4 linked regions of the Drosophila melanogaster genome follow. The protein of the gene in region 2 interacts with the protein of the main gene of each other region in a pairwise test. Each region holds a gene or a part of one and is shown on either strand. Other genes may lie near its edges. The genes, in order: Cfp1, CG14625, Hr39 and CG6424.

Region 1 (4,596 bases), 8.1 Mb from region 2:
ACTGTATTCCTGGCTTTGAATCAGCAGGTCGTGTGTGATGTAGAAAAGTTCCGGACAACGACTGGCATTTTTGACAGTTCGTCTGGGGGAACAGTCACAAATCGCCACGACTACTTGATTGCCCGGGTAGCCGGATTCGTTCAGACTCGCTTGAAATTTCCACTGCACTTGTGCGTCCTGACATTCCTTTTGGCTCCCAACTACAGCATGCCCACTCTAATCCATAGCCTCCATCGTTTTCAAGGTCCTGCCGTTTCCAATGGTTGCCCCCCGCTCTTCATTTACCCGGAACCATTGTTTCGGATATCAAAACCCGGACTCGGTGGCCTATGTCTATATGATCTTCAAAATATGTTGAGCGTAGAGTATTCTTTTTTTCATGACTTTGTTTAATGCAGTAATATTAACCTGCATTATTAAAAAAAGCCTACAGCTTAAGAAAATGTATTTAATATGCTAACTTATTTTCTAGATTATTTCTAAATACAAACTAACAATGAACAGAAAACAAATCGTATATAGAAATTATAAATAACTTGAATCCAGCTAATAAACTAATATTAAGGTGTGTGCTAATGTAATCCATGTGAATGATATCCACGGTTGAGCTGGCCTAATGTATTAATAGCATGTTGCTATCAATAAATGCATATTTGATGCTTAGTTTTCAATAACAAACATGGGCGTACCGCCGATCCCGGCGCGTAGCAACCTACTACTGGCCGGGAAGCGGACCCAACAGCTGGCGAGCGTGTTATGCGGTTGCCAGGAGAAAGGCGACACTAGAAACTTTGCGTCGGGTAAGTCCAAAGATTACTGTCGTAGAAAAATATTTCTTGGACGTCAGTTTATTGTTAGTTCTTGCTATGATTAGGGGACTACAAATCTATGTTTTTTTCTGCAGGTATATAATTTGAGTTTTCTGTGGTATTTGGGCCTTCTTTTGCTGCTGCTGCAACAGTTGAAGTTGAAGTTGCTGCAGATGATGTGGCTTCAATTGCAGTTGCTGTTGCTCCTGCTGTTGTTGCTGCTGCTGTTGTTGCTGCTGCTGTGGTTGTTGCAGCTGCTGCTGTTGTTGCTGCTGTTGTTGTTGCTGCTGCTGTTGTTGCTGTTGCTGTTGTTGCTGCAACATTAGCTTCTGCTTTTCCTGGTACTGTTTCTGCTGTGTTTGTATTTGTTGCTGGTGAGCCAGGCGTCGCCTCTGCTTCTCGAACTCTACCAGATGCTCCTGCTGTTTGCGCACCAGCTCGTCCATCACCTCGTGGTTGTAGGTGGAGTGCAGCATCAGGCCGAGCAGGTTCGCTCGCGAGGTGAGCTGCTGCCGCATCACGCGCTCCTGCTCCATCAGGTCGTCCATCTTGAGCCATTGACGCACACGCTCCAGATCTATCTCAGCACGCCGGATCTTCTCCCAGGCGTAGTGCTTGAAGCAATTCTTCTTTGGCGCACGACAAAACTCGCCCGTGGGATTGAAGACGTTGTTCACTAAGGGCGAACCACACACATCCGTATCGTTCACCTTCGGATCCTTGCTGTGCTCCGGACACAATACTCTCAATCGCTTACAGTAAGTCTTACTTGCCGGATTGTAGAAATCACAAAACATATTGTTTCCCTCCATTCGCGTTTTGAATATGCTCCCGAAGCTGGCCTGCGATTCGTATTTGTTGAAGCACTTCTCCATATGCTTGATGGCAGTGCGCGAGTGAATCTCGTGGCCACAGGTGATGCAGTACATGCTCTGTTCGTCCTCCATGTCGGCGGTGTCTTGTGACCCCAATGTATCAATGGAGCTTCGTTTGGCTCGCTCCACCACCATGTTGAGCTCTTCGGAGCGCTTCTCTAGCTCGGCAAGTGCGAAACGCACCAGGGACTGCTTATGACGAATGTTATCAAGATGCTTGCGTGTTTCCTCGGCGGCGCGGCTGGGCGTTAGATTCCACTCTTGCAGTCGTTGCGGCAGAACCTGAGAGTGTAAAGGACTTTGGTGTTTAATTGTCATAGTCTGGCCAAAAAATGAAACTAACCTGGAAGATGCGTTTTGTGGCCAGATTGAAGCCACACTTATCGCTGCAGTACTTGCTCTGCGGTCTCGCATGGGAGCAGCAATTGGGTCCGTAGCACTGCCGGATGCCTTGTAGCTCCGGATTGAGGAATATCTCCGGACTGGCCGCCCGCGGGCCCACTTGGACATTGCGACTCTTGGGTGCCGCCTTTTCCCGCTTCCTACTTGGGCCGGCTTGAGTTGCCTGCGACTCCTTTAAGACCGTCGCCGCCTGGACAACGCAGGTGCGGAATATGCAGCGCGGCTTGTGGCCCACGCGAACGCGGCACGCGTCGCACTGGTTGCAATTGGGACGCCGGCATCCCTCACAGGTACCACAACGTTTGCCCATCTTTGGTTCTCGGGCGCTGCTGTTTTTGCGCTTCGCTGCCGCAGTGGTCGGTGGCGGCGCTTGCTGGCTGGTTGTTGCGGACGCCACCGGTGCAGCAGCAGGCGCAGCTCCCGATGGACCTACGCCCGGGGCATTGAGACTTGTAGAGGCGGCGTTCGATGCGGCTGCCCGTTCGGTGGCCACCAGGCGGAATATGGTTTGTAGTTCGGGATTCTCCTTTTTGCAGCGCCGGCAGTAGTACTGTTTGATGTGTTTAGCCTCCTTCTCGGTGATCCCTATACAGTCGCCGTGGTACCACTCCTCGCAACCATCGCAGCCTCTGGAAAGCGAAGGGTACAAGTAGTTAGCCGGGATCTAGCCCTTTAAGGCCATTCAACTCACATCATGAACCTGGAGCAGTCGGAGGAGCGGCATATGCAGTACGCTTGGTCTTCCTGCTTTAGAATGGTGGCTATCTTGGACTTGCGCTCAGGCAAATCAAATTCCCGTGCGATCTCCCGCCTGATTTCCTCTTTCTGTTTGGAAACCTCCTTTGTAGTTAAAAATATGATTGCCGTGCAGCGGGTGAAACTTACGGTCTTCTTATATTTGCGCTTGTCCGTCATCTCGCAGCAATCTTTCCGACAACAAATCCAGTCCAAATCCAAATCCGTCAATTAAGTTTCATGGAATTTTTTTTTGCGATGGAGATGGTGAATGAAAGGATATCGATAGCCTACTAATAATGTATTGCAGACAATCGATAGGTTCTGGCCTAATAAAATATATAATATTTAGCATAAAACTACGTTGTAGATTTTAATTGATGTATGACTATACAATAAAAACAATTTTAGGTATTTATTGTAAGCTGTGTATAAATATAAAATGCTTCGTAACACTTATATCGAGAGAACTAATTCCATAGTCTTAATAACAAACGATAGTGTGTTCGAGATCTATGAGATTAAATAGAGTTCTTGAAAGAGAAACAACGTGAATATAAAACCTACAAAAGATTGTTACTTTATATATACCTAATTTTTATTTTTCGATAATCTTTAAGATTTTGCCGCGGCCCAGTATTTTCGAAGTTTCGTAAAATTAAACATCGATAGAAAAATTAAGCATCGAATTACCACTGACATTGTCGGCTTTTTCTCACCTCTAATAACCGCGCGGTTTTTTCTTTGTATTTCGTTACCATTTTTTCTCAACTGAACTGAATTGAATGTGAATAGTCTGCAATTATGGCGGCCCTGAGCAACCTAAAACAGTGTCCGCCGTTCTCCACGCTGCCGGATCTGGCGCTGCGGCACAATCACATCCCAGAGCTGGAACGCTATCCGCAGATAAACCTGAACAGCGAACTTCTGGCCAATCCGGCTGGTCAGCGGTACTACGGCGGACAGAGCTTCGTATCTGTGAATGAGGGTGTCCTAAAGCGCATAGCTCGCAGCTTCTTTAATGGCGGATTCTGGAAGACGCTGGAGGAGGCACGCAGCCCAGAGACCAGGGAGCAGGCGCCGCTTATTGCCCAGGCGGGTGATTTAATCGCACAATTTCTGGGCCTGGCCACCGGCCTGAGGATCCTCCCGCACACCCAGCAGCTTAGTGCAGAGCGTATTGCTCAGTTCGTGGAGACCAGGTGGGTGGGGCGCAGCCAACTGACCAATAATACCTAAACCTTACTGTCCCATTCATTCAGGGATTGGCTCAACAGCGATGTGCGCTATCTTGCCTGGAATCAGCACTTCTTTTGCTTAGCCGTAGCCGGTGTAGACGATGTGGTGCGCATCTACACAAAGAGTTCCAGTGCGACCACTGCCACTGTTTTAAAGAGTCCATCCCAAACGCAGATCACCTGCATGGCGTGGCGTCCACTCTGCGCTTCCGAGATCGTGATAGGTTGTCGGCAGGGTCTGTGTTTCTGGGAAGTGGACAGCACTTTGCATTTGGGACGCACAAATGCACCCAGCGAGATTTTTAAATAGTCAGTATAGAAAATTTATCGTTAGTTGGTAAATACATAACTTATTTTCCCTTTTAGCCCAAACAATCTGCCAATAACCTCGATGCAGTGGAACAAGGATGGCACCCAGTTGGCCACCGCCTCAATAGGAGATCGTTCCATTATTATCTGGCAGCCGGACACCGGAATGATGCAGCCACTCAAGCGTTTGGGTCCGCCGGGCTCGCTGCTGAAGTGGTCGCCGGATAA
Region 2 (5,794 bases):
TGAAAGATGTAAGCAATCCGATCCACAAACATAACATTTTTCAGCATTGTCGAAGCGTTGCAGCTGCCACAGTGCAGCAAAGGCAATAGGAAAGTTAAAGAAATAAATAAATGCTGATCGGTGTATGAAGATGTATGAGATGAAGAACTTAAATACATTTACGATACATTTCAAGCCGCAGTTAAATCTTTGATTGAATTAGTTAAATTGAATTAAAAACCCAATCCTTGGCAAATCAATTGGTATTGAGACTGTTCATCTGGTGCGGCTGCCACAGCTGTTTCTTTGGCAGCTGGCAGCTGGTAGTGGATTTGGTAGTTTCTGCAGTTTTTGGCCGCATAACGGGGCATGGATAGCCATGGCTATATGTATCTATGTACCTATGGCAATCGCACTCGACTGCTGACAAGGTTGTTGATCTGCACATATGTGGAGGAGCCGAAACGCTTTGCCAGCTTTGTTTTGCTTTGCTTTAGCCGCTGCAAAGTTGTTTCGCTTTTATTATTACGGCTATTATCGTTAGTGTTAAGTGTGGCAATTGTTTCATTTTCAGTTTCAGTTTCGTTTTTCGCTTCTCATGCAGAATATTAAAATATAAATCATACGCCCTGTGGGCCAGCGCCATAGTCCGCAATAAAGAAATCCCCGGCCAGCACGTAAGGGAAATCAATGAAATGCCAATTGGCAAGTTATTCCAAGGCGTACTCCCAGTTCTCTAAGTCCGGATCTCTTTATCGAAATTGAAATCATCGCTGTTGGTTTTCGGCAACGGCAATTGCTGCTGCTCTTTCGGTAAAATCATCATAAATCAGCGAACACTTTTCTCCGTTTGTCTGGGCTCCTTGTTAATTATTATGCACTGAATCAGTGACCATGAAGCCAACCACCGAGTGAAGATCTGCCACGACCAACCACCGACTGCCCGCAATGTAAACACTGTGAGAATACAGCAAATGGGGAAATTTAAGAATACATAAAATAAGACAGATCTAGTGTTAATGGATTTGTTTCAAGTTTAATTTAAAGGGTGCTAAAGGCTCCCTGTCGAGTCATTGGACTTGCAAAAGTCCTGCTGCTTTCCGGACTCCACTCCAGAGTGGGTTAGTGACTACTGCCCGTTGTCCACTATTTGTCGTTTAACCCAATAAATGCCTTCGGTGGCGAGGATTTTACAAGTCAATTACGGGTATTACCCACCTGTGCCGGCAAACATTTCATTGAACTGCCTGTGGTGGAATGGGGATTGTTTGGCTTAGCTTATGGCTTAATTGGCCATCAAAGTGGCAGCTTAAACAGAGGCCGAAACTGAAGCCAAGAAACTAAAAACTATAAACCAGTTGTCCCGTTGTCCTCTCTCTTTCGTGCTGGCCTATCGCCTTCTCTGTTGCACCTTATCGACTTATAATGGGCGAACTTATCACGCATACGCCGTGTTGTGCGTCGATGGCTTATTACGATTCGAATTGTCATCGAAAGTGAAGCGATCTTTCTCCCCTTCTCTATCTCCAACTGTCTCTCTCTCTTCGCTTGCACTTGCACTTTTCTCGCTTTTCTTTGGCGCGCACATTCGCATAAATTTTCCGCTGCAGCGGTTCGCATCATTATAAAAGCCTCGCCTCGACAGCTGGCCGCTAACAATTCCAGCTGAGACTCTGGCGCGCCATGATGTCAGCGCTCACATCTCGATTCCGTAATCTTCAATATCAGGAGCACCACCTTGTCCATATGGGAGCAAACATTCTCAGCCGGCGGCAATGGTGCCTGTGTCTGCTGATCATCGTAAGTAGTGCGCTCACGTCCAAGGATTCGGATAATTCGATTCACGAGGAGTACCTTTTTTTTTGGTGGCCAGTGATCCAAAGTGTAGTGATGTATTTGAAAATTCATAAATGTTGGACTCGAGAGAATCTCCAGAAGTAAAAAAACAGCCCATTTGAAAATGAGATTTTTTTTATTTAATAATTCAGTGAAGAAGAGTGATAAATTTGTAAAAAATATAAATAAATATGTAAAAAAATATATATAAATGTATCTTACGATAAAAAACGAAAATAAGTGAAAAAAATATGTAAAAATACTCAATTAAAACTTTTTAAAAACATTAATATTTGAATCTTCAGTAATGAACTGCTGAAGCTTATCCCGCTAAAATTACATTTCGGAACATAACACCAAATTTTTAAACAAAGACCAAAAAGATTAGCCTTTTTGGGAAAATATGTCCCGAATGACTGAGAATTACGTTTTTGATACATAATCGCCAAATTCTTTTCCCATTTCGATCGAAAAGGATCCATTTGGCGATTCGCAATTGCGTGCTGCGGGTTTTTCATGCCGGTGTGTCATTGCCCTCTCCTCTGGAAAACGGTCCATTGAACTTGGCCAACTGAGCGCCGCCAACTCAATCATACAGAAATTGACTATCAACCGCCTCCTCCTTCTCCTTTTCTTTCTCTTCTCCTCCTTGAAAGCGAAAGCGAATTGGCGGAGTTTAATTAGTTTAATTGCGAAGTAGGCACAAGCCAATGAGTCTGAAACGAAGAGGCCAATTTAAGGCAGTTCGCCTAACTAGCACCCGTTGAAATGGCACACTCATCAGTTGGCCAAGGTTCCTTGTTTGTCCTATCGTTTTACTCATTTTATTTTAATGTACGGTTTTTATTGTAAGCCATGCGAATCTCCGATTATGTAATTTTCAAATAGCTGTGATTCTTTCTAATTTCTCTGAACAGATGTCGACGCTTTGCAGTGCCGTGACTGTGACCTCAGGCACGTCTGGGAACAGTCGCCGTCGATCGGGAGGTTCAGGAGCGGTGTCCTCTTTGGAGGTGACTGGGGAGAAGGCCTTTCCCGATCAACTGGCTATGGCAGCTAGCCGTAGGGGCTCCGACGATCGTGGTTACTCCAGGCGGGGATCGGTTACACAAAGCAGATTAAAGGAGGCGCCCAGCAAAGGTAATAAACCGTCCCATTTTGTTTGGCAAGCCTAAAAGTATGCACTAATCCGCAATCGACATGCATTGTATACTTCCCAGATTACAGCTTTGGCCAGGTGGAATTAAATCTCGTTCGCCCAGAGCACGAATCGCATCCAAAGCAGACCGCAGAATCCGGATCCGGAGCGTATGTCAACCTAGAAGACTCTAAATCGGCAGCCGAGTATGTGGCCAATGCCATCAAGTTGGCCTACAAACAGCCACCGACTCAACTGCGAGGTCAAAGCCAAGTTCAGAACCCTAGCAACAACCACATCCAGGCGCAAAAGGAACAGCAACCTACCACCCAGAGAAGTTACCAGGAACAGAGAAGGGATAGGGAGATCCTGGAGATGCAATTGCAGAAGGAACTGCATCAGCAGGCCCTGCTCCTGTCCTCAGGACCCTCGTCGCCATCCTCGTCTGGATCGTCGTCCTCCTCTTCTCCGCCGTCGCCCGCCCTAGCGCCTGCGCCAGTCTACGAAAAGGAACCCGTGACCCGGAGCTATGAACTCTACGAACACGCAACCGAGGACGAGTCCCATGTCCAGGCCCAAGAGCAAGACATCGAACGCCACTATCGTCCCAAGTACAGCAATAACTACAACAACATCTACGCCCCCTATCAACCGCCGCAAATTTACAGAAATCTCGAGGCCGAGGCCGAGGAAAAAGTCAGGGTCTCTGCCTCCACGGAAATTCCCAAATCGGAGATAATGAAACAGATTGAAAAGTCCGTGATCAAGTACATGAAGGAACTAGAGGCCGAAGGTAAAATCATAAGTACGCCCCAAGAGACGGCCACGCCTCCTCCACCACCACCGCCTCCGCCGATTACCAAGACCTACTACAAGTCGCAGACGCTCTCATCTGGTCTCCATTCCGGTTCCATTCCCTCGTCGCACTCGCATTCACACTCGGAGGAAAAGCGTTACAGCAGCAGTACAGTGAGGCCCAAGTATACGGTCCCACCAACGACAAAACAACAACAGTTGCATCACCACCAGCAGCAGGTGCTCCACCCACAGCACCACAGCCACCAAATAGCCGGAAAACTGAGGGGCTCTTCATTGGCAATAACGAATTCAAAGCCCATTCAGCACTTTCAGTCCGAAACGGAAACGGCATATCAGGCCCCCGATTTGCCCGTCGACGAACTGAGTCCGAATGTGGAGTTTATTTACAAAATCAAGACCCGAGCTCCCCTGCAAACGGCCACAGTGAAGACGGTTTCGAAGCCCTACACTTTGCCTCTGAAAAGTGCCGAGCACTTTGACCACAGTGCGGCCCTCAAGAACATCGAAGAATTCGATCTATCCCACGTAGTTCCCACTCCAGATCGAGTGGAACGGGAGCGGGAAAGGGAAAGGGAAAGGGAGCGTGATTCTCGGGAAGATCAGGAGAGGCTTACAAACTCTGGCAAGCAGCACAAGTTGTATTTCAATTCGGAAATCTATCATGACATCAATGCCTTGCCCTACAAAAGTAAAGAGGCAGCTCTGCAGGAATATCGCCACAAGCTCAAGGCTTCCGGGTCATCCGGGGAACTGCATCCGGACTACAAAGGCTACTCCTCATCCGGTTACTTTGCCGAGCCGGAAGCAGAGACTGAGAATGAATCAAAACTAATCCTTAACGAAGAAGGCTATCCCTATCATTATGTGCTGAAGAAGGAAACCCTACTAGATGATCATGAGCCCTGGTTGTCCCACGCGCACGGCCACGCCCACCAGCACACCCATGGCCACGCCCACTCGCACAGCAACAGCAACAAGCACCCGAGTCTTGAATACGACAGCTACAGTCCGAAGTTCAACAACAATCCCGAGGGCTACGGCTATCAGCACACGTACAAGGTCAGAGGTCAACCAGCAGGCGGTGCCGGGTCGGGGGGCGTGGCTGGCATAGGCAGTAACACGGGGACCGGAGCTGGAAAGCGCGGCAAGCGGGGGGGAGGCGGTCATCCCAGACAAGAGGCGATTAAGAAGCAACTGCGCTCATCGGAGGTCAAGGACTTGGAAGCCAGTTTGGCTCTGAGGCCACCGCCCAAATAGTAAACCCCATCCCTCGATTAATCAATCGAATAAGCCGCAAAACTCCACCACCACCCTCATAGCTTATTTTATGCCAGAATTTCGAGCATGCTTCATTGTATATGCTATTGTCTTTTTTTTGTAGAATCTAAGTGTAAGTACGATTATTTATTGTATGGCCACCAACTGCTGAAGTGGTAGCCAACTAAAACAGACGATAACAAATTACGCCAATAAACAAATTAATGAAATAACTTAAAATAAAAACTATCGCTTATCCATTGACATTTTTAAATAGCTCAAGACTTCATTCCATTATCATGATAGCCCCATGAACTAGATTTTCTATATCTATCCAAAAATTCGAACTGCTTGGAAAAGTGCGAATGCCGCCTCTGTTGATCAGTTTTTTTTTTTTAGTTTCGATTTTTATTCGTCTCATTTCTTCGCTCTATGTGTGGGTGTGAGTGTTTGAGTGTGTGTGTGTGTGATGTAATTAATAATTTTAGCGCACAATTATAAGGCAGCCGCCCACATCCACCCAATGAACGAACTGATTGAAACATCCAGAGATTCAGCCTCGGATTGGGTAAGTCACAGTAAAAGTGCCTCCTCTTTTGCAATTTAACTCTTTCTCTTGGTGGAAGTACATCCACCGCATTTGCATTCTGGTTTTATATAGGAACACAAGTTGTACGGGTAAGAATCTGTTGTAAATGGCAGAAAAGAGTGTCAAATGTGTTGTTACGTGAGATTTGGACGATTAATCGCCAGCCCAGCGGCCAC
Region 3 (4,901 bases), on a different chromosome or scaffold from region 2:
AAAGCCAGGGAGAGAAACAGCATGTATCAACTTATGTATTGCAAGAGTGGGTGGTGCACTGCCGAGGGAGAGGCACGGATGGCCGAAGTGGGTATCAAGGCGGTTGGAACACCCGAAGGCATATTCGAAAACCGGTTAACAGCTGGCAGCCAACTGACGAACGAGAAATACATCACCGAATGGGCAAATCTCAAAGACTTTACAAGTTACAGATATTAAGGCGTATGGGTCGGGTTAATATAAATATCTGCATGCACAAAAAGAGTTACCAGAAGCAAAATTTTTTTTTGCAGAATTGGAGACCAGGCTTACCACTCAAGCCCGATAATTTATTGCCTTCTTCCACTCATTGCGTTTGTAAGCATGGGCAAATCCCTACATCAGTTGCCAGTTCTTGTAACCGCGTCTCGACGGCAGAATCGACCGCCTTTAGCCAGAGTTATGACCCCGAAAGCTGTAAATTAACCTTTGAGGCCGCGCACATTTAAAAGGAGTTCAAGAACATAAACCAGCGTCCGCAATGTATAATCCGGAGCCAATCAACTTCCAAACTCGCGGTCAACCTTCGGACAGACTGAATCCCAGCTTACGAAATGAGAAGAGTTGAACGGTAAGAAGGCACGGTAAGAACGGCTGATAGACACAAAAACCGCAAGCGACGCAGTCAAAATAATAATGAGCCCGACATTTAAAATGGTTTATGAGACAGCCCCTTCTGCGGCTCCTCGAAAGCACAAGACTTGGCCCAGCCGCAGCCTCATCAGCAGCGTTGTCAGCCGCAGAATTGGCGATTCTTCGATTTTTCTGGGTCAAGCACCACGCGAAAGCAGAAAGAGCTAAAGACTTGGCCCAAGAAATGTGTGGTAGAGGTAGAGTTCAAAACGTGCCTTGGCCGTACTATTCAGACATGCAGTGCCTTCCCACCCTCTTATTCTCCCTGATCGAGACCGTCTCTGTTTCGTTGTCGAAACAATTTCCGGCGGCTGCACCGAGAAAAATATAACGTGTAACGATGATCGAACAATAAAGACAAGCGAATCTATACAGAGTCAATTCGGAAAGCTTTAAGTTTTCTAGAACCGAACATAACACATGTTTAATTAAAGCCTTTATGGCGTCCTTTTTGCGCTTTCAGAGCTCGGTAGAGTTGAATGTCAATGTAATGAGCCAGCCAAGTTCGGGTCATAAAGCCTCTGCCACATGAAAGTAGTTCAAGTACTCAACGGCGCCGTTACATTTCACTGCTTATGAATTGGGAGTCGCCCGGCCAGACAGTCCGCCAGACGACACTGACTTCCCGATGTGTTAATAATTTTGTTTTGATTTCAGGGATTCGAAAAGCCTACTTTGACTCTGTGGAAGGGGATAAGAAAATATAGCGCTTGAATTGGGCCTCTTGGATCTTTAAATTTAAAGGACAAAGGAATATTAAATCACTTAAAAAATGGTAATTTTTACAGCCCCTATATTGTTGTCCTTAAATACAAATGAAATGAAAGCATATGGTTTATACGATTCGCCCAGTTTTCACGATGTTCCTTTTGAAATCACATCAAGTTATGGGATGGACATCATGGACATCAATTATGGGAACATTTTGTTTTTAAGGAAATGAGATCATCTTACCATTTTAAAATACCTAAAAAATTATGGGAACATTTTGTTTTTAAGGAAAGGAGATTATCTTACCATTTAAAAATAACTAAAAGTATTCCAATTGTCCCTTTCTCAGTCTATCAAGATTTTAATGTATTTCCGTTGCTGTGTTGATAAGATTTGTTACCCAAAAGCCAGTTGGGATTTCACGTTTTACTCGTTTTGTTCGACTCACATTCTAGTCACATTTTCATAGAGAATTCGTTTAATTTGCGTGCACATTATGCGTATAACATTTCTTGTGCAATATGTACCCGACTGGAAGCCACTTGATGCCAATCGAGGAAATTATTGCACGACAAATATCGGATTTTTCACCTGTGAATTAATAACGGTAAATTACTCATCCAGCGTCGCGGCGGGCGCACTTGTATGGGTTAACGAGCGAGCAAGCAAGTCAACGAATTCACAATAAAATAAACAAAATGCAGACGCGAAAAATCGACGAAACTTGTTGGAGCTGAAAACGCGGAAACTGTTGCAAGCGAATCGAAACCAGAAAAACTTTTCTGCACACTCTGTCCAATCAGAACAAACACTCGAACTCTTCTCTCCCACACACACTACACCAGCACTCACACGCACAAGTTCTGCTCTTGCACTTGCCTCTTTCTACTGCTTTCTTTGAGTCTTGGGTTTTATTTTACACGACTGCGGCGCTCTTGTTGCGTTTTCCTCACCTTTCGCAGAGTTTATTGACATTTTCAGCGTTCGCTTTGTGCGCTGCTTTCTTCGTGCGCAATCTCTTTTTTCTCTCGCCAGTCTGTTCGCTCTTTCTCTCTTTCCCTTTCTTCTCTCCGCTCACAACACTTGCTTTTTTGTTTACAATGGAACGCTCGCACACACACACTGGTAAACGGGTCACTCACACGCACACAGAATAACCTTCAATTTTATCTTATTGCGCGCGCCCCAGTCACTCGTTATTCTTAAACTTTGCCGAAATTAGGATTTGCTTTGGTTCGCTGCTGCAGCTTTAAATATCAATCAATGTCTTTGCAATGCTGGTGTGGTTAGAAATCCACATTCACCTCGACGCCTCTTCCACACACCCATACACGCAGCCACGGACGACCTTTGCGGTGCGAGCGAGACGACCCGCCACAAAAAACTCCACTTCCGCTCTCTCGTTCACCCGTTGTGCTGACGGCGAAAAGGTTTTCGAATTAAGTACATACATATATTCTTATTCACTTATTCACGGATTTAACTACATATGCCACTGTAGGCGCTACCACTCTTTTTCGCTCACAGCATGAACGGTGTTTTGCGCTCGAATCCGATTCCACAACCGCTCTAGCGATCACACGACGCAACACAGTCCCGCCTGCGACGAAGTAGCAAAATGTTTGTTTTGTTAGTGGAGCTCTCGGTCTGTTAGCGAGCGTTGCCACCTTTCTGCGAGCTGTTGCTGCACACTGCCACTTTACGAACACAGATCTGATAGCGGGACAAAATACGTCAAGGCAGCGACGGTGGGTTACTAGTGAATTTGGAACGGTGGTCTTACGACGTAATGGTCTTTTATATTTTCATTATTTTTTAAATTGTCGCTCATTTACCAATAAACCTTTTTACTTTTTCCTGATAGTCCGAAGTCAGATCAAATAGGAAGTTTCACAAAAAATTTTCATCCAGAGAAAATACGCCGACGCTATTCGAGTTTTTTGTATTCGTTAACCGGGAAAGAATAGTTCGAATTCGTTCGCACTTTATCGATAGTAGATTGCTATTATGGAGCCCACTTGTAAAATAATTTAATTCCAGACTGATAAAAGCGATCAACTTTTGTTAGTGGTTTAAGTCTATGATAATACTTAGTTCAAATTGTTTCAAAGTAGTCGATAATTTATAATAACAGTTTTAGATGACCTCTAGGAAATAACTAATTACCCACATTCTTCAAGAAGTGTTTTCAATTTGTTCTATAATTAAATAACAGTTGTATTAATTATGTAAATATTGTTACTCATAATACAAATTAAACAATATAAACACACATAAATAAGAGAATTGGAATATTTTGTCTCAGATTAGATTTTCCACACGGGAAATTTAAATCACCACGTTTGGTAATATCGTATCGTTTTATCCTAAACGAAACACGCTTATTAATACATAAGCTAATTGTTTTTATACCCGTTACTCGTAGAGTAATAGGGTTTACTAGATTCGTTGAAAAGTATGTAATAGGCAGAAGGAAGCGTTTCCGGCCATATTAAGTATATATTCTTGATCAGGATAAATAGCGGAGTCGAACTGGTCATGTCCGTCTGTCCATATGAACGTCGAGATATCAGGAACTATAAAAGCTAGAAAGGTTGAGCATCGACTCGGCTTAATAAGAATATATTTTATATCTGTTAGACATTTTATCGGATGAATTGTAACAGGTATAATAAACGATTTCTTATATATCGTCAGACATGTGTGTATATTTTGAACGAAACAACTTAAATTAGTTTGTAATGTTATTTTATAAATTCCATCCTAATAAATATTACTGGATTTGCAATGAGTTCCTTAGAACATATTAGTACTCGTGTTTCACTAACCATGTCCATCAAGCTGACACTGCTATGAATGGGTATGTGTGATGGGTATCTGGTGGACAAGCTCTGATCTAAATGGTGTTGTCCATCCCAATAGCACTGACTTGTCTGTAGTCTAAACTGTGAAACACTCCTTTATTACTGAATTCTAGATAAATGTACATACATATGTATACTACGGAGTGGTTGCGAAATCAGAGGCAATCAGATATTGAAGCAAGTTCAAGTGACATACAATGGAATTGGTCGTGTATAGCCGCCTATAAAGACATTAATAGACGACCCCAAAGCTCTCATTTAAGCTTAGCTTTAGTTTTCGGTAGATACAACTTATTAGTGTCAGAGATATTGAGCTTTGGTCGGCCACTGCATTTACATTATTTATTGCGTAATATTTAAATTGATAAATTGCGCATATATGCTAATGCTAAGTCTTCAATCCATATGTTATATTGTATTTTCACGCATTTTTAGATGAAGAAAACATTCTTGACTCGGATCGACTACGATCCACATTGGCATATGTTTGCCGTGCATAATATGGGTATTCTCCATTTAAATGTCTTTGGATGTGGTTAGCTAATTGGTTAATTAAGTGAGACCGCGGGCAGAAAATATCGACGAAAATACATTTTTGTGCAAGACAAGCCAAGCCACGTTTCTCATTTCGAATCGTGGTTGCTGTGTGAATTT
Region 4 (4,891 bases), on a different chromosome or scaffold from region 2:
ATGACCTTGAATGTTTCGCACCCCTGAATGATGCAACAAAAGTGGTGAAATGCAAACTCCACGACCTTGTGGATGATTTATTTCATAAACGTACATATGTGCATACATATGTCGATTATTATCCTCGCATTTAGCACATCCGTTGAATTTCACCAAAGGACTCTTTATCATTCAAAAAATTAACCCTCTGGAATTTCCACTTATTAAAATAATCACTTTTATTTTCCACATAAATTTAACGCAAATTAAAAAGGGAAGCAAAGCATTTGGAGTCTCATGATTTAGTTAATACGTTTATTTAATAACTAATACTGTATAGTTTTTCTTAAGATTGCACTTTCAATCGGCCAAGGAATTTGCTATTTCATCACACCATTTCCATTTCAAAAATTGTGTAATGTAGTTGGCGAGAAAAGTGAAAAGGGGGGTTGGAAAAATGCAGGGGCGGTGGATAATAGAGAAATCAACCATATTTTGGCTCGAAAATACTAAATGCACGTATTTCGATTTCGCTAAAAATGTTCAGCCATTGGCAAATATCCAAAATGTATACAGATTTTAAAGAGGGATTATTATGTGCATACAGAGGTGCATATGTATATATGTACATACGTATATATATATTAGCTCAAGCACTTGGCCTGGTCAAGGAATGGATAAGTGAAAGTTTCTGGGGGAAGACTACGACTCGGGAATCACAAAATGCGCAATAAGAGCTGTCTTACAAGTCCATAAAAGTTCCAAATCCCTTTTATGTTCGTGCCCAAGCATCATTTCCGGATTTCACTATCCGCTGCTCGCCTGCAACATTGGCAAATGGCACGTATACGGATACTTACACTGAGAAAAATTACACTAACTTCAAAAAGTAAATGTTTATAATATGAATACACATAGAAGCGTAGCATTAACGTGTAGGTGGGAGATGTAGGGTAGTGTTTTGTTCTTGCTTTTGTTTTTTTTTAATATATAACAAACGCAAAACAACCACCAAAAAATCACCATCGTTTCTGAGAATTGATTTGGTCCTGGAAGTTATTTGAAATGATATACTGTAGATGATTTTATTTCTAGGCCTGAACAGGCTTCGATAAGATGTTAAGATACGAAAGTAAATTAGAGAGAGAGTTTGTGAGTGCGACACGGAAAGAGATCGTTAAAAAATACTCTAAAAGATCACCAAGGATCAAAGGAACATTTTAACTCCATTTAAAAACTCTCACCGGATAACAACGGTTGAATGTGGTATATGGTAAAAAATAAAAAACACTTTATGCACTTTATGAAAGAATGCACTTTTTTTTAAGTTTCGGAAACATTCCTATAGGACCATTATCTATACTTTTATCTCACTGCATGGCGCTATAAAAGAGCAGGAGCTCCAAAGGATGTTAGCGAACGGCTGGCAGAGGCAGTGCTCTAAGTGTGCGTTCAAGGACGTGCATGCATTATGGTCGAGCATTCCGCAGCGAATCGAGGCATTAAGCCGTGAAATGCGACCAGGGGCCAAAGGCAAAGGCCCTATCGCCTGAAAAGCCGAGGGAAGTGTTAACGCTGCGTATGTGCGATATTTAATTATCGCGCGGGGGCGTGACCAAAGGGGCGTAGGTGTGCCGTTGCAGCCACGTCCTTGCCTACTTTTCGGAGAGGCGTGAGGGATAGAGAGCGCGAGCGTTGGGGAGAGCAGCTCCACGAACGAAGGGTAGCCGAGAGCAGACGAAGTCACACGAAGCCTGTCGCTTTCATTCAGTAGAAAACGAACTCTCATCCCTCCCACTGCCCCTATCCAACCACCCATATGTCCATTTCCACCGGATGATTTGGCGCTCTCTCCCCTCTTTTGGACTACGCTGCTTTAAGCACGTGCGCCCGTTAGTTTTCCGCTCATTCGATGTTGGTTTCTCGTCCGGTGTGGTTCACAATTTTTCTTTCTGTCGCACTGTTCGCACTTCCTCTATCCGTGTATGTGTTCATGTGCGTGTGAGTGAGTGTGGGAAAGTCAGCAGCAACAACAAATACCCAGGAGAGCGAGAGAGCAGAAAGATCCGCCGAAAATTAGGTAAATAGCGGGCACAAATGTTGCAACTGGTTAAAGGGGTAAGGCGCTTTAAAGCTGCACTCGAAGAAAGAAGTATAGATACGGTCGTTGATTTTACTTCAAATTACATTCATAAATAATGTAAATTAGATAAAATTAAAATTAATTATTGAGATACTGCGAATAAGCCTAATGTATGTATATTAAATAGATTTTATTAAATGTCTGAGTTAACAACTTTTTACTTAATCGAACGTTTTTAATTTTCATGTCATCCCCTTGTTGTATTGATATATGTATTTATCTTCGCTTTATTCGTTCCTTGTCAGTGTATAACTTTACAACATCCAATTTGGGATTATTGCACCTGGGTCGATTGCATCTAGGACTTGTGAGAGAGGAATTACGGAGTCTGCCAATTTTGTAATGTTTTTGGTAATGCAGGGATCCTTTACGACTTTTTTGATTTTTTTGCGAGCGCACACACAACAGAGCGTGTTTTCATTTCAATGTTTACATTTTTTCGGTTTCTGTTTTGATTTTATTTATTTTCCTTTCCCGAAATAAAGCAGAACATATAATTTTTTTTTTGTTTTCGAATTTTGTCTGCGACGTCAAAGACATTTTAATGTCCAAATATATAGTCGTATATATTATATGTATATCGCTTTTAAAGCAAATGGAGAAAATTTCGCATGTTTATTTTGTTATATTTTAAGGCACGCAACATATCCATCTGGGGTTAAGTGCCAGACATCATCAATCAATTAGTCATTTGATGGCGATATTAACAGGCTAGGCATTATACATACATATGTATATTTATGTTCATGATGGCATCGATATACATAGGATAATCCATGGAACAGGTTGATTAAGTGCGTATTTTCCTCAACGCTGCAGGTTTCGGTTGATTTATTGCGATACCAAAGGAATAGAGTAACTATTTAGTTCTCACCTTAGTATTGCTTTTTCAAAAATTGTTGTAAAATAATAATATATACCCTTCCTTGTTTTACTGCATTACCAGAGAATTTCCAGAAAACACAATCTGTTGCCTTTCCGTTGTTTTCGTTTCATTTGCATAATCAAATTTTGTTTATGATTCGCAGCCGCATCAATTTAAATGCAAATCTGCAACTGGCCAATTGCAGAAACTATTTTACTTCATACCAACCCCCGCCCCCTTGGTCATGCCTCCTCGCGTTGGGAATTTCTCGAAAGTTCTCGAGGGCTCATTGGGGGAATAAGAACTTGACACCCGTAAATTATTGAGCACTACCCCTTTCTCCTCTTTTCCAAACGTAAATTGCATCCAATTGGTTTTGATTGCTCAATCTGATGCCGCACTTGTTGGTGCTATTTTTGCATGCTTAGATTGCACAATCGGGGTTTGAAGAATCAAAGGTTTTCACGCGAGTCCTAATTGACTTTTCTATTTTCAGCTATGGATAAACAGAATGCAAAAATGTATGCAATTGCCGTCATAAGTTCGCTCATTGAGATTCGCAATTGAAATTCACTTTACCGAAATGAAAATGAACCAAATGAGCATTTAGTCAAGTGAGAGCGAGCGAGAGAGATGCGCCGCCAAGTTAACCGTTTCATGTGCAACGTCATCGTCATCTGAAGAGTACCGCCGTAGGAAAAGTAAAGAGAGCGCGCGAGCGCATTACGCCCTTGTTTACACGCCCATTTCACAACTCCCCCGAAAGGAAACATCATCCAAGGACCTCCTAAGGACGCATATAAGACCGCTATTTGGATAATTAATGCAAAGGAATCCGAATTAAAAACTTCAGCGATAAAAGAGTCTGCGCAAAGAGAGAGCGCACAGAGCGAAAGAAGGGGAGAAAAGAAAAAGATAAAGAGAGCGAGAGCGAGCGCCGCTTCGGTGGGCTCCAAAAATCACATCGTGCAGGTCCCATTTGGAAAAATTGCGTCTCGCGACACAACGTGCGTCCAAGTCAGCGGAAAGTTTTTCGATTCGCGGCCCGGTTATTGAATTTGTATATGCGTTTGTGCGTTGAAAAACTCCAGTTTCTGTAGTTATTTGTCATTGTCGTTGTCAATCGACAACCATAAGCTAACCCATTAACCAATTTTATCTAGTGCGACCAGTGTTAAATATCGATTTTTTCGGCTAATGCGCGTCGATGACCTCGCACACAACAACAACAGCAACAATTGAGAGCTAAAGCTGCAAGTACACGCAGAGAAACAACAAAAACGAAATAAAAGCACTCAAAAGCTGTGTCTAAGTTTTTAAAGTAAGCCAAACAACACAAACGTTTTACATAATTGCCCCAGTGCCAAAAGCGGCAGCCACAACAAAAACAACGAAGAAGAAAACAACGGCGTTGCAAGGGGGAAAACTCTCGATTGAAAGAAGAAGCAGAGGAGGCAGAACAAGAAGGCGGAGAAGACTACCCGAAAAGAGCGGCAGCCGAAAACCGCAAAGACACATGCTCAGATACCGTCTCGTGTCCACTCACTTCCTCAAGCAGCCGTAGTGTGCGAGCGAGCGAGACAGCCACACCCGTAGAGGGGGGACCGAGAACGAGCACGAGAGCGAGAGAGTGTGGGTGTAACTGCGAATGCACTTGCAACTGCAATTGAGAGAGAGAGAGTGACAGCGAGAGCGAGCGATCGCAGGATACGATTGTGCTATAAAAGTGCGACAGGTGCGCTCTACCTGCCCATTCACCGTTAGTCGTCGTCGGTAACTCATTTAGTTGTCGAGAGTTCCTCTTTACATCCCAGAAAGAGGCAGGATCAAGGAGCGTACTAAAGAAAAGGGGAGGAAACTCAAACTCGCCAGCGAGAAAGAGAGAGAGAGAGAGGGAATTCACA

The links.
Region 1: the proteins of CG14625 (region 2) and Cfp1 interact in a two-hybrid assay, tested with the Drosophila melanogaster proteins (one large-scale study listed by BioGRID).
Region 3: the proteins of CG14625 (region 2) and Hr39 interact in a two-hybrid assay, tested with the Drosophila melanogaster proteins (one large-scale study listed by BioGRID).
Region 4: the proteins of CG14625 (region 2) and CG6424 interact in a two-hybrid assay, tested with the Drosophila melanogaster proteins (one large-scale study listed by BioGRID).

What each region holds. Positions count from the first base shown.
Region 1 is NC_004354.4:9,269,889-9,274,484, forward strand, and holds Cfp1 (CXXC finger protein 1), read right to left. Parts: upstream 3,073-4,596; 5' UTR 3,002-3,072; coding exon 2,778-3,001; intron 2,716-2,777; coding exon 2,028-2,715; intron 1,967-2,027; coding exon 887-1,966; 3' UTR 546-886; downstream 1-545. Other genes in the region: aladin, read left to right, coding at 3,626-4,023, 4,084-4,368, 4,426-4,596. UniProt on the Drosophila melanogaster protein: Component of the SET1 complex that specifically di- and trimethylates 'Lys-4' of histone H3. Essential for Set1 association with chromatin and trimethylation of histone H3 at 'Lys-4' at transcription puffs.
Region 2 is NC_004354.4:1,197,893-1,203,686, forward strand, and holds CG14625 (uncharacterized protein), read left to right. Parts: upstream 1-1,653; 5' UTR 1,654-1,725; coding exon 1,726-1,779; intron 1,780-2,732; coding exon 2,733-2,955; intron 2,956-3,035; coding exon 3,036-5,029; 3' UTR 5,030-5,265; downstream 5,266-5,794.
Region 3 is NT_033779.5:21,235,354-21,240,254, reverse strand, and holds the start of Hr39 (hormone receptor-like in 39), read right to left. Parts: upstream 3,006-4,901; 5' UTR 2,851-3,005; exon of another isoform or gene 2,835-2,850; intron 1,975-2,834; 5' UTR 1,690-1,974; intron 1-1,689.
Region 4 is NT_033778.4:17,716,342-17,721,232, reverse strand, and holds the start of CG6424 (uncharacterized protein), read left to right. Parts: upstream 1-1,886; 5' UTR 1,887-2,059; intron 2,060-3,483; 5' UTR 3,484-4,503; coding exon of another isoform or gene 4,504-4,551; 5' UTR 4,552-4,891.